Elephas maximus indicus: one gene and its partners. The protein of the gene in region 1 interacts with the protein of each later gene in a pairwise test. Links are inferred from orthologs where the notes say so. Each region holds a gene or a part of one and is shown in the gene's direction. Other genes may lie near its edges.

Evidence for each region.
Region 2: the proteins of ARRDC3 (region 1) and OTUB2 interact in binary tests that used the Homo sapiens proteins (3 or more experiments, as listed by UniProt). The two-hybrid records come from large-scale screens. The link is inferred for Elephas maximus indicus from reciprocal best matches to the Homo sapiens genes ARRDC3 and OTUB2.
Region 3: the proteins of ARRDC3 (region 1) and STAM2 interact in binary tests that used the Homo sapiens proteins (3 or more experiments, as listed by UniProt). The two-hybrid records come from large-scale screens. The link is inferred for Elephas maximus indicus from reciprocal best matches to the Homo sapiens genes ARRDC3 and STAM2.

What each region holds. Positions count from the first base shown.
Region 1 is NC_064820.1:98,106,563-98,113,881, reverse strand, and holds the start of ARRDC3 (arrestin domain-containing protein 3), read left to right. Parts: upstream 1-4,301; 5' UTR 4,302-4,541; coding exon 4,542-4,821; intron 4,822-7,319. UniProt on the Homo sapiens protein: Adapter protein that plays a role in regulating cell-surface expression of adrenergic receptors and probably also other G protein-coupled receptors.
Region 2 is NC_064828.1:107,602,174-107,609,263, forward strand, and holds the start of OTUB2 (ubiquitin thioesterase OTUB2), read left to right. Parts: upstream 1-3,985; 5' UTR 3,986-4,176; coding exon 4,177-4,179; intron 4,180-7,090. UniProt on the Homo sapiens protein: Hydrolase that can remove conjugated ubiquitin from proteins in vitro and may therefore play an important regulatory role at the level of protein turnover by preventing degradation.
Region 3 is NC_064824.1:49,378,214-49,386,296, reverse strand, and holds the start of STAM2 (signal transducing adapter molecule 2), read left to right. Parts: upstream 1-5,050; 5' UTR 5,051-5,402; coding exon 5,403-5,442; intron 5,443-8,083.

The sequences.
Region 1 (7,319 bases):
AAGAAAAAAAATATTCCCCATTAAGCTATTACAGTTTTTTTCACGTAGAATATTTTTACGTAGTATCAGCTTCTGTGTCGAGTGTTGTGTACAACATTTTTCAACTCTAACGTCTTCAAGATTTTCTTCTAGCTTGCTGTCACTTTGCCTACAGATTTTGATGCTGACGTATTCTCACAGAGTGTTAACTGAAGGTTTTAAGCAACAGCCAGGAATTAATTTTAAATCCTCCCTCCAGTCTCCACAACAAAGTCAACTGTGGTGCATTTTGAGCACACTCATGGGTTAAAGGAGCCCTGGTGGTGCAGTTACGAAATTTTAAAATATCGAATTAAGGCTTAAAAAAACAAACAAACAAAAAAACCTCCCTTGGTTCTAAAGCACTCAAACCTGTCAAGATGCCAGTAAAAATAAGACTTAAGCATGGATTTCATATTTTTCTTTAGGAAACAGGCTCCGATTACTGGTATGGTTTCTTACAACCACACAGAAAATGAGCTTTTATACTAAAGCTTTCAACTGAGATGGCCTGCTTTTTTTTTTCTTCCTATAGTGATTTTGAGCATTTTAACATAATTTTATTTCAAAAACTCCAGACTTCGCAGTAATTTTGACATATCTCCTCAATATCATATACCTTGATAGAAGTTATCATTTATCAATTTTTGATGGCATTCTTGGGGTTGAGGACAAACTTATATACATTAAGGTGGAACAGTCATTTAATTCAAAATCCAAAAACAAAAAAAAAAATAATAAAAGATTCCCAACTCTGAAGAAGATATAAAAAGGGGCAGAGAAGCTAGTTATTCTGTCTAGCTCAAATTTTATTCAGTTGTGCCAACTGAATCCAGTGAATGGGCTAGAAGAAAAGAAAGAATATAGTAGGGGGGATGTTGTTCTGGGGCACACAGAAAGCAGCATGTAACTGCACATCAGCAGCAGTGGGACAAACTATCAAAGGGGACAGAAGATGTACTTGACAGGAGTATAGAGTCGGCAGATGAGTAGGCGGAAATGACAAGAAACGAAGGCTGGGACACAATACGAAAGCGCCTTGGTGGTAAAGATGAATAGATTAATGCAAAATACAACTAGGGCCAGCGAAGCAGGCTGAGAAGCCCAAGATAATGGTTTTAAGACAATATTTCAAGCTGTCTCAAGGGTGGATATTTAGACAGGATGTCTTGAAAGGGGAAACCCTGGTGGCGTAGTAGTTAAGTGCTACGGCTGCTAACCAAAGGGTCGGCAGTTTGAATCTGCCAGGTGCTCCTTGGAAACTCTATGGGGCAGTTCTACTCTGTCCTACAGGGTCACTACAAGTCGGAATCGACTCGACGGCACTGGGTTCGGTTTGGTCTTGAAAGAGGGAGGTTATGAAACTCATGAGCGAATACACTCACGATTTGGTCCAAGTGATATTTTTTTCTTTTAGAAGTGAAAAGATAAGCAGGGCTTCAGAGATGCCAGAGTTTTGTTTTGGTTTGGTTTTTAAGCAGCTGAATTTTCCAGTGTTTTCATTGTTTGCATAGGAGGAAAACAAAATGAATCAGATAAACTCAAGTTTAGATACTTGACAAATAGTCACGTAGCCAAATCCAAAGAGAAGAAAGGTGATAACCTGGGTAAGTGGATGGGATCTTAAGTAAAAATGATGTTGTTGCTGTTAGGCACCGTCGAGCTGATTCCGACTCATAGAGACCCGATGTACAACAGCACGAAACACTGCCTGGTCCTGCACCATTCTCAAGATCATTGTTATGCTTGAGTCTGTGTTGCAGGCACTGTGTCAATCTATCTTGTTGAGGGTCTTCCTCTTTTTCGCTGACCCTACTTTACCAAGCATGATGTCCTTCTCCAAAGATTGATCTCTCCTGATACCATGTCCAAAGTATGAGATGTGGTATTGCCATCCTTGCTTCTAAGGAGCATTCTGGTTGTACTTTTTCTAAGACAGATTTGTTCCTTCTTTTGGCAGTCCATGGTATATTCAATGTTCTTCACCAACACCACAATTCAAAGCGGTCAATTCTTCTTCAGTCTTCCTTATTCATCGTCCAGCCTTTGCATGCTAAAAATGATAGGGGATAAGAACTTTTGGTAACTTGTTGGTTACTAAAGTGTTTAAGAAGGCAAAATAAAAAGAAAAATAGTAAGGTAAATAACAAAGACAATGATTTATAAATTTTTTTAAAAGGCATCGAACAGAAGGAATAGCGTAAAATACAATGATAGGAATAAATTATAATCATTTATTGTGTTGAAATAACTTTCCAAACAAGTAAATTTCTTAGGGTTCCATTTGTTAGATGTAATTCTAGTTTATTTAACTAGCTGAGTCTTAGTGTTTCAGAAATGTTATACTCTAACCAAAGAAATTTTACTAAAAAATCCTGAAGAATTCAGCCATTGTTCACTAGCTCTCAGTAATTAAAACACAAATTTAGTAATGAGGGCCTCCTCATTGTGTACAGTACTTTTACATCCAGTTCTTTGCTCAGTGTCATTTGAACACTTAACTAATACCATTTGATCTTGATGAGGAAAAACTGACACTTTGGCAAATTCAACGAATTTACCACTAGATGGCGAGAAAACACAAGCAGCATATGTTATCAAAGCTAGTACAGGGTCCCAAGTACTTTAACTAGAACTTCCTTCCACCAGGTGTCAACCAAGAGGAAAAATGAAGACACAAATTCATAATTTTAAGCAAAAGGATCTAAACTCTATCAGAGATCAATGGTCTGCCTATTAACTGTCCAAATCTGTACGCTATATATAATGCTGTTCAGTTCAAGATAATGCCTTGTTAACTAAAACCCAACTAATTAAAAGTATTCAGAAAAAAAAAGGGCAAGACCAGTGAGTTTGGTTTATGGTGACTCATTGGGTCAACCTATCCAAACATAATTCACAAAATAAAATGTTTAGACGTGACAGCCAAAAATCTTCCAAAGTATATTTGCTCATGTATATACAGTTTCAGATTCATATTTTATCTATATTTATTATAAGCAGTTCTCTTGATTGCTGATAGTCTAGATGAATTAATGCTGTTATGCTTTGAAACCCAGTGTGATTTTATGAAAGTACTGTTATTTTTGTACCAAGAAATTCACAATAAAAAGGGGAAAATTTACCTAGATTTAAGATACAAAAATTACTATGTTGAACGGTCCAAGGCTATCAGTTGAAAATTAAGATGAAAGCTTTACAGAATTAAGCCCCATTTAAATACTAAATCATGCCTTCAGAACAGTCATCTTATGTGCTACCCTAATTTCTAACTAAGATTATTCTATCCTGCTGTAAACAATATGTCAGCTAAACCACTATGTCATGCTGCCTTTTTAGGCCTGTTTTAGGCCAAATTCTATTATTACTCCTCTGGACACGGGAGTAGCAATCATGTCCTACCCTGCAAATGTAGTCGTAGGTGGTGTCTTAAAAAAAGACTTTTTTTCCTTCAAGGAAGTGGTCAAGCCTTTCCCTCCCTGGTGTCATCCTGGAAACAACTTGGTTATTTTTCGTTGCTATTTTTTTTTTTTTTAATCTAATTAGGAGACAGAGGAGAAAGCAGACTATTGACTAAATTATATTTCCTTCTCTTCCTTGATCCTTAGGAGTTATTGTCTTTTAAGATTCCTTTTGGCCTCGACTGAGTTCATTTCCACCCTACCTACAAAGTACCGGTTAAAAAAAGAAAAAAACCTCCAAGCCAATAATGCTCTTGTCTGTGAACAATAATTCTTGTCTGTTTTTATTACGTTTTCTTTTGAAATTCGTTAGATTATGCTCGGTAACCACCCGTTTGCCCAACCGGTTTCACCCCTTCCTCCACCTCCCTTCACACATCACTTTTTCCTCCTCCCATCCAGGCAGCTGGCAAAACCCTGCAGTGCCAGTAACCCACGCTTTGGGCTGGTCACTCAGCAGTTTATCCACATAGCTTTGCAAACAGCAACCCACCCAGTCCTCGTTCCCTAACCGCCCCCTCTTGCCATTATCTTTCTATCAGCGTGTGCTCGGTAAGGAGATAGAGATACCACGTCGAGAGTTTACGGTAGCCTGCCTACCAATAGGAGCCCTCAATGAAGACAAGTCAGGTTCAGCCTCTCGGCAGCCCCAGTATCTCCTTCCCCTAGCTCGACACCTACTGTACCCACAAGCGAGCCAGCGAACGAGGGAGCGAGCCCGGAGCGGGAGGGGACGTGCAAGGAGGGCGGACAGCAGCCGCGGCGTGCGCATGCGCACTGGGGTTGTTTTTCCACAAAGCTGCTCTTAAAGTGAGCTAGCAGGCTTCAGCCGCCCGTCTTTGTACCAAGACCGCTGAGACGAGCAGGAGTGCGGAGCGGCAGCCTCCCTGCTGCCCTGCTTTTTAAGAAATCTCAATGAACTATTTGTAAAGAATCGCTGATCCTGCCTGCAAGCTTTTTGCATGGCAAAGACATCGATCAGTGTTCAGTGAAGATCGCATTTTATATGCGCTCTTGACTTTTTTTTTCTTACATTATATTTTTATAGATTTTGTTATAAACATGGTGCTGGGAAAGGTTAAGAGTTTGACAATAAGCTTTGACTGTCTTAATGACAGCAATGTCCCTGTGTATTCTAGTGGGGATACAGTCTCAGGAAGGGTGAATTTAGAAGTTACTGGGGAAATCAGAGTAAAATCTCTTAAAATTCATGCAAGAGGACATGCGAAAGTACGCTGGACTGAATCTAGAAACGCCGGCTCCAATACTGCCTATACACAGAATTACACTGAAGAAGTAGAATATTTCAACCATAAAGACATCTTAATTGGACACGAAAGAGGTAAGTTTTTATATTTTTCAGTAGTTTTTAGACCTGTTTTCTTTGGGAAGGTATTTTTTTTCCGAATTAATATGTCTATTTCTAGCGTAACACATAGTTTGATAAAGGCTAGCAAAGTTGGAGTATTTGGATTCTCCTTGACATTCATCGTGTATTAGCCGTAATGCATGCAGGCATCTGCAAAGTACTGCAAACTGCACTTATTCAGCTACCTCTAGTACGCACTTGGAATCCATTTGCACCTTACTTATAAATTCTGCTTAAATCCGATTCAGTAATTTTACTAATATGTTTTCAAATGAATTGCTAAAAGCTACAGCCCAATATTAGTTTTTTTTTTTTTAACTTTACAGCCTTAGCTCTAAAACTGAGTTTCAGTGAAGAAATAGAATATTTTTAAATGGGTAATAAGTGTATTTCATTTTTAATAGTGACACGCAGAAGACTTTAAGGATTGATCATTGTTCTTTGATAAAGGGTTTCCCATGGCTTATTTTGACATATGGTATTAACACCCCCATGTGTTTTTCCCCTATTTTTCCAGTTCTTTTAGACATTTACATCAAGCACGCTTTATTTTAAAGTACAATATCTATCATTATGATAGGCTTCAAGTCAGTTTTAGAAGCCATTTGGGGTCAGTAATTTTCTTTTCCGAGCATCATGTGTAACTTTGGAACATGCATTCAATGAAACCCATGCCAGTCAAATGGAATTGAAAAGTATTCGGCACATCGCATTTGATTTTTGGTTTGAAAAGGGAGATAAAGGGTTCTCAAAGGGAAAAGGGGTCCTGAGATTTCCAATCTATTGTTTAAATGGTTACATTGTGAAAATATAAGAGACTCTAAGCTTGTTTTTCTAAGTTTCCACCCTTTGTTAGAAGCGGTTCAATCCTGTTTGGGACCAGTTCTGGGGGGTGGTGAGGAGGGGCGCTTGTTCTGCTCTCAGCAGATTGGTTACACGCGTCAGGTGGTGGCGATGACTTAATTCCTAGCCTAAGAAGAATATAATGTTAAAACTGGTTATGTAATTTTGTGCTTCTCCTTTTTAATGCAGCATTTAGTTCAAATGACGATTTTTTTAGAAATAGAAGTACAGTTTTGCCTTTTTTATTTAAAAAATATACATCCCTGGCGAAGTGCTAATTGAACTAAGGCAAGTATAGAAATGAAGGATTTGAGTTACCGTATTAATATATTATTTAGAAAATATTATGAAGTCCTTTTAATAGGGTTTTCATTATTGTACACAGGCAACTTGCATCCTTAAATAATTGCTGATTAATCTCTCCAAGTATTAATTCTGATACAAAATGCAAATATCTAATGACAGTTCTGGTATTTGCTGAAAAGCGCAGACACAGGAGTTCGTGTGTGTGAACCTTTCAGGAGATTGCAGCCTTTCATAAAATGGATGGGAAGAAACAAAGGTTTTTCTTTAAGGAGTTGAGACTTGGAATAGGGGAAAGTAGAACAATGAGTGTGGGGACAGATACAGTTTCATTAGTTGCTCTGTGATTTCATGGTAAAGAAACTGTCCCGCAACCCATGAGATGCCCCTAACCCCTGCAAAGCGTGGACGAGCGCTTAGCCTGGAATAGTTTCAATGACTTAAAAACTGGGACCTCTCAAACTAGCCTGGTAACTGAGACCCCGCCTCGGGCGGCCCGCGATAGGCAGAGCCGGGTTTGTTAGCCTGTTGCTAAGGCGATGCTAGGCGCTGATTGGATTGGTCGCGGGCGGGTGGGGAGAGTGGGCTCTGGGGCGAGGCTTGGAACCGGCGTGCGCCGGTAAAGGTCCCTCCAGGGCGGCCGTCTCCTCCCCTGCTCGAGTCCCTCCCGGGGCTTTTCGAGGCGCCTCGGGCCCGAGTTACGTCATGTTATCACCCCGATTTGCTTGGGGCACCAAAAAAAATGAATTCAGGCTTCCTCAGACTAAGAGGGGAGAAGCTTCTGCTGACCTTTAAGGTGCCGAATGGCCCTGAACGCAACTTTAGCTGGAAATCCTATTCAGAGGTGGGGTCGGTCGGGTAGCAGGACACCATTTTCCTGTTTTCCGAGTGAAGGGCTCAGGTGGCTTGTGCCAAAAGTGTTTTCCTCTAAGCTGAAGCAAAGTATTTCCCGGCATACTCTAGTCACCAGACCAGCTACCTTGATTTGACCTGAGGGGATGGTAAAGGGTGGCCAAGAGCAGAACCGTTTCTAATACCGAAATCTGGGTGGGAGGGGGACCTTGGCAAGTATTCTTTCTCCCCTCCCTTATTGTTTCTTGGTGCCTACCAACCCCCACCCACCTCCCAACCGCTCCAGTTTCCCCACTGTTCACTGTAAAGGTGTCGGGGTGGCCCGAGCCAGATCTAACCGGTCACCGGCTGGGGCGTGTAAAGCGGAAGCGCCGCCGCGCGCTCACTCCGCCCCCGTTGAGCAAGCTAGGCTGCGCGCGGGTGCGAGCGCCGCGCGACATATGCCGTATGTATAGCGCGCGGGCGGCGGCGGC
Region 2 (7,090 bases), on another chromosome or scaffold:
ATGTAGGTGTTCACAAGCCTTTCACAGGTGGAGTTGGGATGAGTGCGATGCGAAGGGAACAGAAAAACAGGACAAAGTCCCTATTTTTATAAATGCATGCATTAAGTTTTTGTTTGTTACTGGTTTATTCACAAATGGCCACATAGATTATCACCAAATCTGGCGGGTGGTTCTGGGAAGAACTGGCTGAAAATAAGACCTGGTAATATTCATAGCATTGACTGAGGAGGTTCAGGGGGCTCTCATTTTTTTTGCCTTTTGCACCAAGTGTTGTAGCACATCACTTAAAAATATTTCAAAAAGTTGATCAAAGACATTTACGCATTGACACATTGCTATCACATCTTTCACAGGATGCGGCAGGATGGGGGCTCCCCCTTTATTCCTGCAATGATTGATTCTCATTTTTCCACTTCCTGTAGTCTCCCACAAGAAATTATTCTAGGCAAAATGCTGCCATCTAGAAGATGAACAAATCTTCATCCTCCTTCAGCAAGGAGTAAAAAGTGAGAATTGTGAGAAAATTAAAAACCCAATCAGAGAGAACAACGGCCTGAGGTCCTCCTGGGAGAGGCCCAAACCCAAAAAATCCCAGTGCCCTCGCGTCGATTCTGACTCATAGCAACCCTATAGGACAGGCAGCTTTTTTAAATACAGACAAAATTGATGCCCTGGCTCAGAAAGGTGGGGTAACTTGCTCAAGGTTACAGAGCAAACAGGTGGCAGAGCCCAAGTCTGGCTGACCTTGAGGCTGGGGCTCTTTTCCTCATCAAAGCTTCTAGAACTTACCCTGCAAATACCTCTAATGGCAGAGGAGAGTGAATTCAGAACTTTAGGAGCTGGTATGCAGGCTTGACAAGGAACTCAGAATAACTTTGTGTTTCATTTGAAAGTTTTACGTAAGCAAATTTGCATTCTATTTTGTAAGACTTTGCTCTAGTGCCAAAATCATGTTTCCTTGAGTAAAATAGATAGCCCCGGAAGCTGCTCCATGTTTACACTGCACTACAGGTTCTGCCTGGCAGAGCTCCGTGGACCCCTGGGACCTTGAAGGAGACACCCAGCGCCCAGCACTTATACCCCCCCTTGCCATTTTTCATCATCTGTAAACACGGGTTCAAGTTTCAGGAAACTCTTACCGACCACTCCAAGGCCACGCTCCAAGGCCATGCTCTTCTGCGCTTTGTTCTCCAGGGTTCCAGAGAATTTCTAGGGACCACAAAACCCTAAACACTTCCAATTTTCAAGTCTTGGGGGGACAGTTGTTGGTGGGCTCATACAGGCTCTTGGCACTGCTCAGTCTACTTAGTCGAGGCCCCACTGTCTGGGATCCGGCTCTCCTACCCACCCAGCTGAGCAGGCAGGAACTTCACCATCACCCTAGGCCCTCTCTGTCCTGCCACCCCACACCCAGCCCACCAGCAAGTCCTGACCATGTCACCTCCTGCTCCTGGAAAGCATTCACTTCTCCCCATCTCCACAGTTCTCCCTAGTCCAGCCACTCTCATCTCTGACCTGCATGACGATCTGGTCTCCTGTGCCACCCAGGACTCCAAGGGGGGCTAACTCTAACTCTTATCCTTTCTGACCTTGGCCAGCAGTGACAAAGTACACTAACTGGTATGGGAACAAGTTTTCCAGACCAAGGTTCTAGGCTCTAATGTGAAGGGGTAAGGACAGTCTGGAGGACTCAGGTGGATATTCAGTGGGGCAGGCACTCTGCAAGGAAGTGAAGCGATTTACAACGTAGGAGACCTGGTCCTCTCCTAACTAGAGAGCCAGGAAGAAGCCAGATTTGTTACAGACTACATAAAGTACATTTTCCCCTGGCAGAGTGGTTAAGAGCTCGGCTGTTAACCAAAAGGTTGGCAGTTCGAATCCACCAGCCACTCCTTGGAAACCCCATGGGGCAGTTATATTCTGTCCTGTAGGGTAGCTATGAGTCAGAACGACGGCAGCTTTTTTATTCGAGCTTTGCTGAAACTCAAATGACTGAGCACATTTACAGAGATTCTAGATAAGACTGTGTTTTTGTTTTTAAAGACTTTGCTGCTAAAAATTTTTAACTGCCCAGATTGTCCAGCCTTCTCACTGAGTGAGGAACCAGAGGCCCAGAGAAGGCCTGCAGTTGCCTGGGGCCACACAGCAGGGACCATCAGAGCCCAAGGCCACTTGGGGACTCCAGTCCAGTGTTCCTTCCACAAAGCAATGACAGCAGGTTTGGAGCTGCCTTGGCCTGCGCTGGGAAGGACAGGGGGCTGAGGTCTCAGGGCTTAGTGTGGCCCAGCGCCAAGGGGCCTGGAAGCCTCAGCTCACTCGGCCTCCTCCTCCCAGAGACCTCAAAGGCCTCAGGGGCCAGACCCCAGACAAAGGCCTCCACAGCCAAGGCTCCTCACCTGCACCCCACATGAACCCCGAAGGGCCACACCTGGCTCAGTCACTCCCCCACCAGACAGCCCCACAGAACCCAAACAAGTCTGGAGGAAGCACTGGACAAGGCATCAGAAGTCCCAGGACACAACCCAGCCGGGCCACTTCCCAGCTGAGACATGCTGGGTCGGTCCTGTCACTTCTCTGAGCCTTGGCTTCCTCTGCCGCAAAAAACAAAGCAGAGACCCTCCAAAACAAGCAAGGGCATGGGAGTAGACAGCCCCTACAGTCCTGTGCACGGTTCCTTGGCAGAGCACATTCAAAACCAGCTCTGGAGTCAGGCTGCCTGGGATTGAATCCCACCTGGATGCTATGTGATCTTGGGCAAGGAGCTTAATCTGTCTGTGCCTCAGTTTCCTCATCTGTAAAACAGAGATAATAATAGACTTACCGTGGAAGTACAAATGGTTAAGTGCTCGACAACAATTCGAAGTTACCCAGAGGCACCTCAGAAGAAAGGCCTGGCGATCTGCTTCCGAAAGGCCACAGCCTTGAAAACCCCATGCAGCGGTTCCGCTTTGGACACATGGAGTTGCCGTGAGTCGGAATCAACTCAACAGCAACTAACGACAACAACCCCCAGAAACTAGCTGTGAGAATGAAGTAGGATAATACACGGTTTAACACTTAGGGCGCTCCCTGACACGTAGTAAGTGCTCAATAAAAGTTGGCTATTGTTTGGTCCGTGGTAGGTATGAGTCCACTGCTGCGGTTATCATTATTGTTTCTTGAGCCTCGGTTGGCCTCCTTTCCTCCCCTCCCCCAAGTAAATGACAAACACTTGAAGCCACAGGTGTTTGTCTACCTAAGAACCTACTCTGGTGCCTGGGGCTGGGAGTAGGGCGTGTGGAAGTGGACGACTCGGTGAACACTCAAGGGAGTATTCATGCTCGTAAAACGGGTGTACACCACGCGCTGGAGCCTCCACACGAAGCAGACCCCTCCAGAGGCCAGGGGTTGGTGAACGCATCTTTGGATGATAAACACGTTTGGAGTCTGGTAGTAATGAGCTTGTCCGCAGCCTGAGTCACCCAGACCCGGTTCACCGCCTGTGCCCCATATACATCCATACAATACCAGAACCACAAAGTCAACCAGCCGGGAAATTCATTCATTCAACAAGTTGTAATTGGATGCCTGGAAACCTACTAATTCATGAGCTGGAAGAAGGGGAGCTATTATTTAGAAGCTACACAGGGACAGGTGGTTAACTTAATGTTATTGGACACGTGTTTCCTCGTGCCTTGTCCTCTGATCTTGAGCAAACTATACTTATGTGACATTGTTTATGAATTTATGAGGGCCAGCTCATCTTTCAGAAGACCTCACTTCGCAGTTTTTGTCAAAAGTCCTTCAGCCTTTACAACCGAAGACCTGTCTTTCTAGGTTGGGCGAACTCCTTTGCTAGTTAAAAGCTTTCTGTGTGTTTAAAAGGGGGAGGGATCCTGTCAAATGAGCCATAAAGCATAGGCTGAAGAAACGTGAAGTCCCACCCACTTTCTGTGACGTCCTGAGCCCCGGTTTCTGATTGCCCGCTTCAGACGTCAATCGCGGGGCGTGTGTCTTGCTGGGACACAGTGGAGGTCTACCCTCTGGTTTGCGGGGCGGTCGGGTGTATTCTCCGCACACCCCCCCTCGCGCTCCAGGCCCTGTCGCCCGACCCAACCGTGGAGCTGGCTAGTGCCTCCGCCGCGCCCTCCCGCACCGGATCGCTCCTCGCTGGGGCGGGACCTGGCTCCTGTCACTATGGTCAGTGGTCTTGGGGGAAAAGGGGGAAGGGGGGTTGGGGAGGGGGCTCGGGGGGCGGGGTCGCCACCCGGGCGCATGTGCACTTGCGGGACTGGGTACCAGCGCGAGGCTCAGCCCCCACGTCGTCCTCGCGACGTTCGGACCCCCGGGGGTACAGAGTCCAGGCGGATGCCGGGGGACCCCGTCCTTCCTCGGACGCGCCCCGTTGTCCACTGCGGAGGCCCAGTGAAGGGGAGCCAGCCCGGCCCCGAGGACCCCCACCCTCAGCGGGTCCGTCCCGGGTGACCCCGAAGGTGTCGTTCTCATAGCACAAGGTAGGCGCCTCGGCGGAGCGGGGGCAGGGGACTCCAGGGCTAGGGATCGCCTCCTCTTCTGTATGTAGTCCCCCATCCGACAGCCCACGACCCCACACACCCCATGGCTCAGCCGCCAGAACCCCTCCCAGGCCCGCCCCCCCGAGGGTGGACCTAGGGCTTGCACTGGTGGCCGGCTTGCCTGTTCCCTGAGCGGCTGCACATTCGCTGGGGGTTGGGGCCCACGTGGAGAGGCTGCCTCAAGTTTTGAGACACTGAGTTAGGGTTCCAGGTGAAGCAAAGACTAGACTCAGATCCCGTTGGAGCACAAAGGACCCCAGAGACCCTCTGAGCCAGGCCCAAAAGTGGAAAAGTGGGAAAACTGAGGCCCAGGTGGGGAATGGGCTAGCACTGACTGCGATGGACCTAGAACTAAACCCAAGCCTCTGGACTCCCAGTCCAGTGTTCTCTGTGTTACATCAGGCCACTTGCCAGGTTGCAGGGGACTGGATAAGTTGGTCCCTAAAACCCTCCAACCCTGAGCCCCTCTGCTCCAGGGAACCTATACAGTACAAGGGCAGACAGCCTGGACTGGGGTCACACAGCCTGAGGTTCAAAGCTCGCCTCCACCCCTTAGTAACTGAGAGGCTTTGGTCAGCCATCTCCCTGCCCAGTGCTGTTTGGACCATCTGGATAATGGGCCGCTGGAGGACCACATGATGTGTGTGGCACGCTTGGCCCCAGGTAATTAGCTACATTCGGCTTTTCACAGGGCAGTTCTACTCTGTCCTATAGGGTCGCAGTGGTTTGGTGGGTTTCCTGTGCCAACAAAGTCCTGGAAATGAGTGTTCACAGGCACCTGGGTCACAGCCTGGTCATGACTTGCCATGTTCTGGTTGTGGCGTGGACAGGTGGCTGCCCTGGACAAACCAGCCTGCCACTGGGGAGGTACCAGCTTCCTACTTCCATACTGTGCCAAAGGGGTCACCTGGCTCTGCTGCTCCTGGAAGGGGACCCAGGTGTTTTCACCTCATCCACAGGAAGTGCTGGGAAGTGGACTAATGATGGGTTTGGCCACCCAGGATCTGAAGGCTGGCTGCCACCGAGGAACTCTCATGAGAGCGTGACAGGGACAATAGGAGCTGGGACCCCACCTTCTGCCTTGTGTGCTGCACAGCAAGGCCTCTGACACCACTCTGCCCACCTGGCCTAACTCAGGAGACTGGAAGTCAGAGGGCAGGTGGGGTCAAAGGCACAGCAGGGACACCTAATCCAGCTCCCCCCGCCGCCCCATCAGTGGAGGCTTGGGCTCCTCGGAGGTGGATAAAGTGGCTACCCGTTCAACAGCACAGCAGTCTCGGATCACGTGGGGTGGAGGCTGTGTTGGCCTGTTTGTGTCTACCCACGAAGCATTTATTGAGCATCTGCTGTGTACCAGGCACCATGCTGGGGCTGTGTGGCGGTCTTTTGTGTATGAGTCCACGTGGTATGGATGGGATGGAGTGTGCGTGTGTGATGGGCAGAGGAGTTTAACAAAATGTCTTTGGAAAATATAGCATCTTCTTTCCTTTCCCACTTCAAAGTCCCTTGGCTAAGCTTGAGGCAAGGTGCCAGTCAGAAGACACAAAGCCCCTTGGGAGGGCAGAAGAAGGGTGAGTGAGGGCCAGGCCTGGGGCTGTCACTGGCAGGGGCTGTAGACAGTGAGGGGTCTTGTCCTTGCGCAGGGTGCAGGTAATGCTTGTTGAATGAATAAGTGAGTATCAGGCATGGACAGCCAAACCACAGGTCCTCCTTTCATGTCTCAGACAAGCCCCTTGTAGGCACCCTCAAAGGCTGGGGCCCTGCCCTCTCTAGGACCTCGTTGTCTGGACAGACACACAGCAGCCCCTGACTATTGATCATGAACGAAGAGGCCTGACCAAGGGCTTTGGGAGCGCAGCAGGAAGCCAGTAGGAAGTGTTGGAGAAGGCTTCATGAGGAGGACTTTTGAGCTGGGCATTGAAGGATGTATAGGAGTGTGTAAGATGGATTTGGGGAAGACTGCACCCCAGCTCCGGACAGTATGCTTAAAGACCTGGAAACATGGTCAAGAGTGGGATATTCTGGGAAAGGCCAGCAGCCTGTGTGGATGCAGGGAGGGAGGGAAGAGGAATCTAGAAAAATATTAGGTGGGGTCAGAATGTGCCACACTGTGGAGTTTGGGTTTTATTCTGAAGATAAGGAGAATCATTAGAGATGTTTGATAAGTAAGAGACGGTTGACTTGGAAGACCTCTCTGGCAATGGACGTGGGGTTGGAGGTGGCCAGGCGGGAGTCAGAGACCAGCTCACCCATTTGTTCACTCATTCTCTTGGTATACGTTTTTGGAGCCTCACTGTGTGCCAGGCACCAGGGATCTGGCCACAACAGACAGATACAGCAAAGCCCCTGGCCTCATGGATTGACATCTAGTGGAGGGAGACAGACAGTATGCAGGTGGGCAAGTGAACCCATGGTCCAGATAATGCTCTGAAGAAATAAAACAGGGTAAGGTGATAGGGATGGGGAGGGACAACTTAGGCCCAGGATGGTCAGGGAAGGCCTCTCTGTGTTATGCAAAGAGGCAGAGGAGCAGTCCA
Region 3 (8,083 bases), on another chromosome or scaffold:
GGTTATGGCCGGGCACCATCTAGTTCTTCTGGTCTCAGGATGATGTAAGTCTCTAGTTCATGTGGCCCTTTCTGTCTCTTGGGCTCATAGTTATCGTGTGACCTTGGTGTTCTTCATTCTCCTTTGATCCAGGTGGGTTGAGACCAATTGATGCATCTTAGATGGCCGCTTGTTAGCATTTAAGACCCCAGATGCCACATGAAGCAGACATTTTACAGATAAGAAAACTGAGGTTCCCAGAGGTTATTTCCCTAGAAGTCACATAGTCAGTCAGTAGCAGGGATATAATCTGAAAATTCATCTCCCTCCAAAAACTGATGGTTTAAACCATGGGAAGTAAAAGTGCTAAGAAGAGAAAAATTAGTAATTTACCAGAGGCAAGGGCCTGAACTTTTCGTGACGGGCAAAACCAGTAGGTTCTCAGGTAAAGGAATGAAACTGGAAAGGTTGTGTTTCCAGATAATTAAACTGGTTGTATGTGTACAGCCTAGGGTAGCCCATATGATATGTTTGGGCAATACAATTGGAAAAAGGCACTCTCTCTTGGAGGCATGAGGCCTCTGAACTCATAACTTGGCTAACAGAGCATGAAGTTTACTCAGGCCCTTCTTACTCCTACATGGGCACTCTTATTTAAGGGGAAGAAATGAAAGCCTTGGAAGAAATGAGACCCTGGGGTATAATGAAGGCCGTGCCAAAGAGGAGGGAAAAAGAAACAGCAAAAAGAAAGCTTGACGAAAAACGTGAAAAAATTAGGTTGAAAATTGGAAAAATAGCAGCAGAGTGAGAACTTTATCCAAGGTGTTTACTTTGGCCAAAAACGTTGTGGTGCCTCTGACAGAAAAGAGAGAAAATGACAGCGAATGTTGGGGCACAAATGAAAAGTCTGTATGTGGGGGGAAGTCCCTTACAGCATGAGGCCTTCCAAAGGCAAGTGGTGTGGGGGCCACCCAGGAGAGGAAGAGGATATGGGAACTTCCCAAACCAAAAAGCCAAACCCATTGCCTTTGAGTCAATTCTGACTCATAGTGACCCTACAGGACAGAGTAGAACTGCCCCATAGAGTTTCCAAGGAGTACCTGGTGGATTCAAAAGGCCAATATTTTGGTTAGCAGCCATAGCACTTAACCACTACGCCAACAGGGTTTCCAGGGAACCCCCAGGACAGGAGAATCTGTATATACATGGTGTCTCTCAGCAGCAGGGTGGAGAGTCTCTGGGTCAGAAAGCTCTGAAGGATATCATACGTGAAGAAAGCAAAAGGTCACTAAAAAGACAGGAAAGAAAAAAAAGACCAGAAAGAGTGTCAGAAGAGACTCTGAAACTTGCTCTTGAATGGAGAGTAGCTAAAGCCAAGTGGAAGAAACGATGAAGTAAAAGAGCTGAACAGAAGATTTCAAAGGGTAGACAAAAGGCAAAGTAAAATAATATAATCAAATGTGCAAAGACCTGGAGTTAGAAAACCAAAAGGGAAGAACACGCTCAGCATTTCTCAAGCTGAAAGAAGTGAGGAAAAATTTCAAGCCTCGAGTTGCAATACTTAAGAATTCTATGGGGAAAATATTGAATGACACAGGAAATATCAAAAGCAAACAGAAAGAATACACAGATCCCCTGTAGCAAAAAGAATTGGTCAATGTTCGACCATTTCAGGAGGTAGCATATGTTCAAGAATTGATGGTAGTCAAGGAAGAAGTCCAAGCTACACTGAAGGCACCGGCAAAAAACAAGGCTCCAGAAACTGATGGAATATCAATTGAGATGTTTCAACAAACAGATGCAGCACTAGAGGTGTCCACTGGTCTATGCCAAGAAATTTTGAACATAGCTATCCGGCCAAACAACTGGAAGAGATCCACATTTGCTCCCATTCCAAAGGAAGGTGATCCAACAGAAGGCAGAAAATATCGCACAATATTTAATATCACGGGCAAGTACAATTTTGCTGAAGATAATTAAAAAACGGTTGCAGCAATACATCCACAGGGAACTGCCAGAAATTCAGGCTGGATTCAGAAGAGGTGTAAAATGAGGAATATCATTGCTGAAGTCAGATGGATTCCAGCTGAAAGCAGACCATACCAGAAAGATGTTTACCAAGGTTTTATTGACTATGCAAAGGCACTCAAATGTGGATCATAACAAGTTATGGATAACATTGTGACGAACCGGAATTCCAGAACACTTAGTTGTTCTCATGAGAAACTGTGCATAGATCAAGAGGCAGTTGTTTGAACAGAACAAAGGGATACTGCATGTTTTAAAGCCAGGAAAGGTGCATGTCAGGGCTGTGCAAATATTCCAAGAAACTGGACTACTATATGAAGAACTTGGCACCAGGACTGGAGGAAGACTCGTTAACAGCCTATCATACGTAGATGACTCAACCTTGCTTGCTGAAAGCAAAGACAATTTGAGAAGCACTTACTGAGGAACATCAAAGGCTATAGTTTTCAGTATGGATCCACACCTGAACATAAAACAAAAATCCTCACAACTGGACCAATAAGCAGCACCATGACAAACAGAGAAAATATTGAAGTTGTCAAGAATTTCATTTTACTTGGATCCACAATCAATGCCCATGGAAGCAGCAGTCAAGAAATCAAATGACACATTACATTGGGCAAATCTGCTGCAAAAGACCTCTTTAATGTGCTAAAAAGCAAAGATGTCACTTTGAAGGCTGTCATGGATTGAACCGTGTCCTCCAAAAATATCTGTCAACTTGGCTAGGTCATGATTTCCAGTATTATATGATTGTCTACCATTTTGTCATCTGATGTGATTTCGCTATGTGTTGTTATTCCTATGACTAAGATGTAATGAGATGGATTAGTGGCAGTTATATTGATGAGATCTACGAGATTAGATAGTGTCTTAAGCCAATCTCTTTTGAGATATAAAAGACAGAGGTGAGCAGAGACGGGGGACCTCATACAACCAAGGAAGCAGCACCAGGAGCAGAGCGTGTCCCTTGGACCTGAGGTTCCTGTGCAGAGAAGCTCCTAGACCAAGGGAAGAGTGATGACAGGGATCTTCTTCCAGAGCCTACAGAGAAAGTCTTCCCCTGGAGGTGATGCCCTGAATTTGGACTTGTAGCCTACCAGACTTTGAGAGAATAAATTTCTCTTTGTTAAAAACATCCACTTGTTTTTCTGTTAGAGCAGTACTAGATAACTAAGACAAGGACAAGCACCTGACCCCTTACAATCGCCTCATATTCATGCAAAAGTTGGACAACAAATATGAAAGACCAAAGAATTGATGCCTTTGAATTATGGTGTTAGCGAAAAATACTGAAGAATAATCAAATCTGTCTTGCAAAAAGTACAGCTAGAATGATTTTTAGAAGCGAGGATGTTGACACGTTGTCTCACATACTTTGGACATGTTATCAAGACGGACCAGTCCTTGGAGAAGGACATCATGCTTGGTAAAGTAGAGGGTCACTGAAAAGAGGAAGATCTTCAATGAGATGGACTGACATAATGGCTGCAACAATGGGCTCAAACACAGCAACGATTGTGAGGATGGCTCAAGACCAGGCAGTTTTTTGTTCTGTTGTTCATAAGGTTGCTATGAGGTATAAGTGGAGCACTGGCATTATTAAGCTCAACGGTAGCTGTTCTTTGTAGGTCGGGGTTGAGGGTTGAGTTGGCTGCTACTTAGCTGCATGATAAGGTACCAGAATCACAGAGGCTGGGTGGCAAAACTACCATCAGAGGCAAAATGGACATAACAGTAAGTTACAGCAAAGCCTGAATGGCAACTAGGGGGCCCTGACCCGTAAGAGTCTATGGATGATTAATAAGCCACAGTGTTCCTGATGTTAAATAGACAGCAGCCAGTGTGGGTATTGCTTGATGATTACCTCCTCCCACAACCCAACAAGGGAAAAAATAAAGACAAGAATGGGTGCCATATGTTAACTGCCACAATGGAAAATACAAAATTTCTTAGCCACCCAAACCTGAGCTAGCTCTCTGACCCAGGGCCCAATATTTGAACAGGAGGCTGGATCCCCTTGAGAAAAAATCCTGTAATGCCACAGCAAGTATAAATCAAATAAAATCCATTGCCATCCAGGGGATTCTGACTCCTAGTGACCCTGTAGGACAGGGCAGAACTGCCCCACAGGGTTTCCAAGGAGCAGCTGGTGGATTTGAACTACCGTCCTTTTGGTTAGCAGCCCGGCTCTTAACCACTGCACCATCAGGGCGCCCCAGCTACTATATTCCTCCAATCCTTTCCAAAAGGTATCCGCCGACATTTATCAGATTACCTGTACAACGGGGAATGGAAACTAACCAGAACGGGTGCTTGTACTTCTACATTCATTTAAATACCTGGTTGGCTCCTAAAGGAAATTTCAGTGTGACCCTTTCTTTTATCTATCAGGATCGTCATATATTGTCATATAGTAACTGTCAGCAACTCGAAGGCAGGGATTGTGCCGCATTTCGTTTTGGTAGTGCCAGAGCTGAGCACAGTGTTTTCATGCTGAGAACATGACGTAAAGTGAAGTTAGGAGTCCCCACAGAACCACAGTTATTTCGATTCCCGTGGCGGTTATTACGGCAGGGTTCAGGCGCAGAGTGAGATGCAACGCTGTAAGAGGCCGAGAGCAAGCCAGGCCCTCCGCAGAATCTCAAAGCTACCTCTTTGCTGGCGGCTCCATTTGGAAAGCAGCGCAAACGCAGCCATGGGGCCACCGCCGTGAGGGACTAATCCCGCCGCCCAGGAACGAACTAAACTAAACGGACCCCCCAAACCAAACCCACAATCTTACAGAAGCAGACTGCCACATTTTTCTACCGTAGAGTGGCTGATGGGTTCAAATCGCCAACCTTTCGGTCAGCAACCGAACTCTTAAGCACTGAATCACCAGGCCTCAAACTAAGGTAAGGAACGCGGTTTTCAGAGCCTGATTCCCGCGCAGAAAATCTCGGGGGATCTCGCCCCCTGCCGCGCCGCCGCCGGAACTGCAGCTTCCGGGCCTCTGGCATCGCCCAGTTCCAGGAGAGACAACTTCCGGCCCTGAAGGTCCCCCGCTCCGTGGCTCGCCCGGGTCCTAACTATGGAGGGGTGGCTATGGCGACCGCCTGACCCCTAGGAAACCGTAAATCAGGAGTTGCCATTTCTCATGGTGGGTGGCGACAACAGGGGCACTGAAAAGATGCCTGCGGCCAGCGGCGCCTCACCTCAGGAGGGGATCCCGGCGCCAAGTGCGGAAGAGCAGCAGGTCTGTCAGGCGGGAGCAGGGCAGGTGTGGTGGCGGAAGTGCTGGGACGGCGGCCCCAGCGGAGCAGTCTAGGAAGCCGCGGCCCCGGGTCAGCGAGCGGGGAGCCCCTGCCAAGCTTCAGCTGGACCGTTGCGGCTAGCGCTCGGGCGTCGGCGAGATGCCTCTGTTCACTGCCAACCCTTTCGAACAAGACGTGGGTGAGTGCTGGGCCCGGGCTTCGGACTGCAGTTTGTCCAGCTACAAAGTGGGCGGGGGCGACTCTAGGGACTGGGCAGACCAGCGAAGGGAGGTAAGGGGCGGCGCTGCCGCCGCCGCAGCCTCGGAGCCCGAGTTTTTTGGGGGGCAGCCTTGGCTCATCGCCAGCTGCCTGGGGCTTGTCCTCTGCCTACCTGAGTTTGCCCCCCTCCCCCTTCGCCGTCTAGTCGATTCCGACTCATAGCAATTCTACAGGACAGAGTAGAATTTCCTTATAGGGTTTCCAAGGAGCGACTGGTGGCTTCGAACTGCTGAGCTTTTGGTTAGCAGCCGAATGCTTAACCACTGCGCTACCAGGGCTCCAGCCTGAGGTTGAGGACCCCGAAAAAGAGCCGTTCCCCTCGCCAAGCGCAGGAATAAGGAAGAGTCACCGGTTGGCCGGAGGCGGGACTAATTAAGCAATTGTGGAGTGATGATACAAACTTCTTGCTTGCTCCAGACCTAGTGAAACCCCTATCTATTTCTCCCAACCCCTTCTTTTAAGGAGATGGTGCAACCATCGATAAGACAGCCCAACACTAGAGATCTCGACTTGCCCCCATTTATTAGGAAGAACTCACTTTGCTAATGTACAAATGGAGGCAAGCCCTGATAGGGCAGCTTCACGATTTATTTACAATTGCTGGAGGCGTTACTCCCTATTCTCCGATGATGTTGACGCAGGTGCTAGGAGATGTCTTGTCTTACAATCTGAAAAGGTAAATACCAATCTTAGGGTCTCAAAACGGTTCAAAACAACTGATACTTTATTTGTTCTGGTCGTAAGAACACTGGTCTTTTATTGACTTGGAATGAGAAAAAGATGGACTGGAAATAGGACCTTATCTTTGGTGTTACGGTAAGAATAAAAAAAAAGAATGGTAAAGAAAACATTTTGGGGGCAGTAGTTAAAAAAAAAAATTTTTTTTCTTAGTTAACAGAATGCTAGGTAGAGCTTTAGGTTTTGGTGAAATGAAAAAGTATGATAGAAAATGGCCCGAGTCACAGAATAAACACATCATAGCAGTAACCCACCTGCTTCATAGTCATAATTTCAAATTACGGGGAGACTGTTGAGAGTTCTCTAGTTTGGCATATGATGTGATCCCCAAACACATTCAAAAGTCAAATATATGAGATTCAAATAAGATGTGTAGGTCCCTTCTGTTCTGATAGAATTAAGAATATTTATAATTACACCTTGACCCTTAGATAATCTTCAAATATGCATTCCTGTATTTCATTCACCTTTTTTTCTTGAGATTTGAACACAGTTAGTTGACTGGTGCCAATCTAGGAAGCATAACGTTGAGGAGCACAGGCTCTGCATTTGGAACACCTGTACATTTTGTGAAACCTGTGCATTTTATTGCTATTGTAAGGATTTTCATTTTATCTTAATACAGCAGTGGAAAGGGCAAAATAGAGTTGAAAATTATTTTAAAACAAAAAGCTGTGGCGCTCTTTCCTAGAAGCTGATTGTTTTCTAATAGAAAACTTCTCTGGGAGAAGTAGCCTGAGGAGGTCTACCTGTTCCCCTTGTGGCTTCTGTGTCCCTGCATAGTTTAGTGGAACGCAGCTTAGTACTGGTGCGGTAACTGAGGTACTGCTGTCCGTATAAAAACCACTGCTGTTTTAATATATAGGTTATTTCGTGGAGAGTACCATCAACAAAAGCTCCAAGTGTTTGTTAGCGCAAGTATGACTGAATTCAGTATCTGAAAAAGCAAGTTTGATTGAGGCTTCACCTATAACTTCTTTTAGACAAAAAAGAATGGAATTAATAGAAAAAGTGGAATGAAATACTAAGATGTTCAAACTGGCCTCAAGCGTTTTTCATAGAAGAGAAATATGTTACATTTTTCAGATCTTCAGGCTTCTTTTAATTTGGAATAGTTGTAATTAAAGCAAGTCATTATTTGACCTGAGTGTTGTTTTACAGTGTACTTATTTTTTCATCTCTCTGATTCAGTCAGATTTTTTTTTTTTATCACCTTTGTGTTTTTTTTTTTTTTTTTGCTATACCTTTTTCACTGTTCATTCAGCAAACGTGTGTTGAATGATTACTGTGCATCAGGCATCGTGTTGAGTTCTGGGGTCACAAAAATAAGTGACTAGACTGAGTCCTGCCCTCAAGGAACTCACAGTCTAACATATACCTCCCCCTAAAAAAGAGTTAAAGGTAATCTTAATATATTCTGTTAAGTATAGTATTAGAAATGCACTGAAATGCTTTAAATTCTCCCTTTATTTAAAAAGGTCCTCCTCCTTGAAGGGAAGACAAGAACCTTCAGGTAGGAGCTTTCCCTATAAAGGTGTTTGACACTATCCCTGTGCCCCCTTTCTTGACAGCGCCTGCAGGAAGCAGCTGCTTCTTGCTATATGTATGGTATGGTTGTTTATAGTTAAGGGCTTTAAAGGTGACACTGCATGCCTTTGGTAGGCGCAGAGTCTTACCTGGAGAGTGAGCAGTCTTTTCTGACATTATTTGTGTGGGTAAGAGATGCTTTTCCCAGACCCTGAACTGAAACTTATCTCTTGGTCTGGGCAGTGATGGGCCAAGATGTCTAGGAGGTCACTCATGGGTTGCTGATGCTTTTTTAC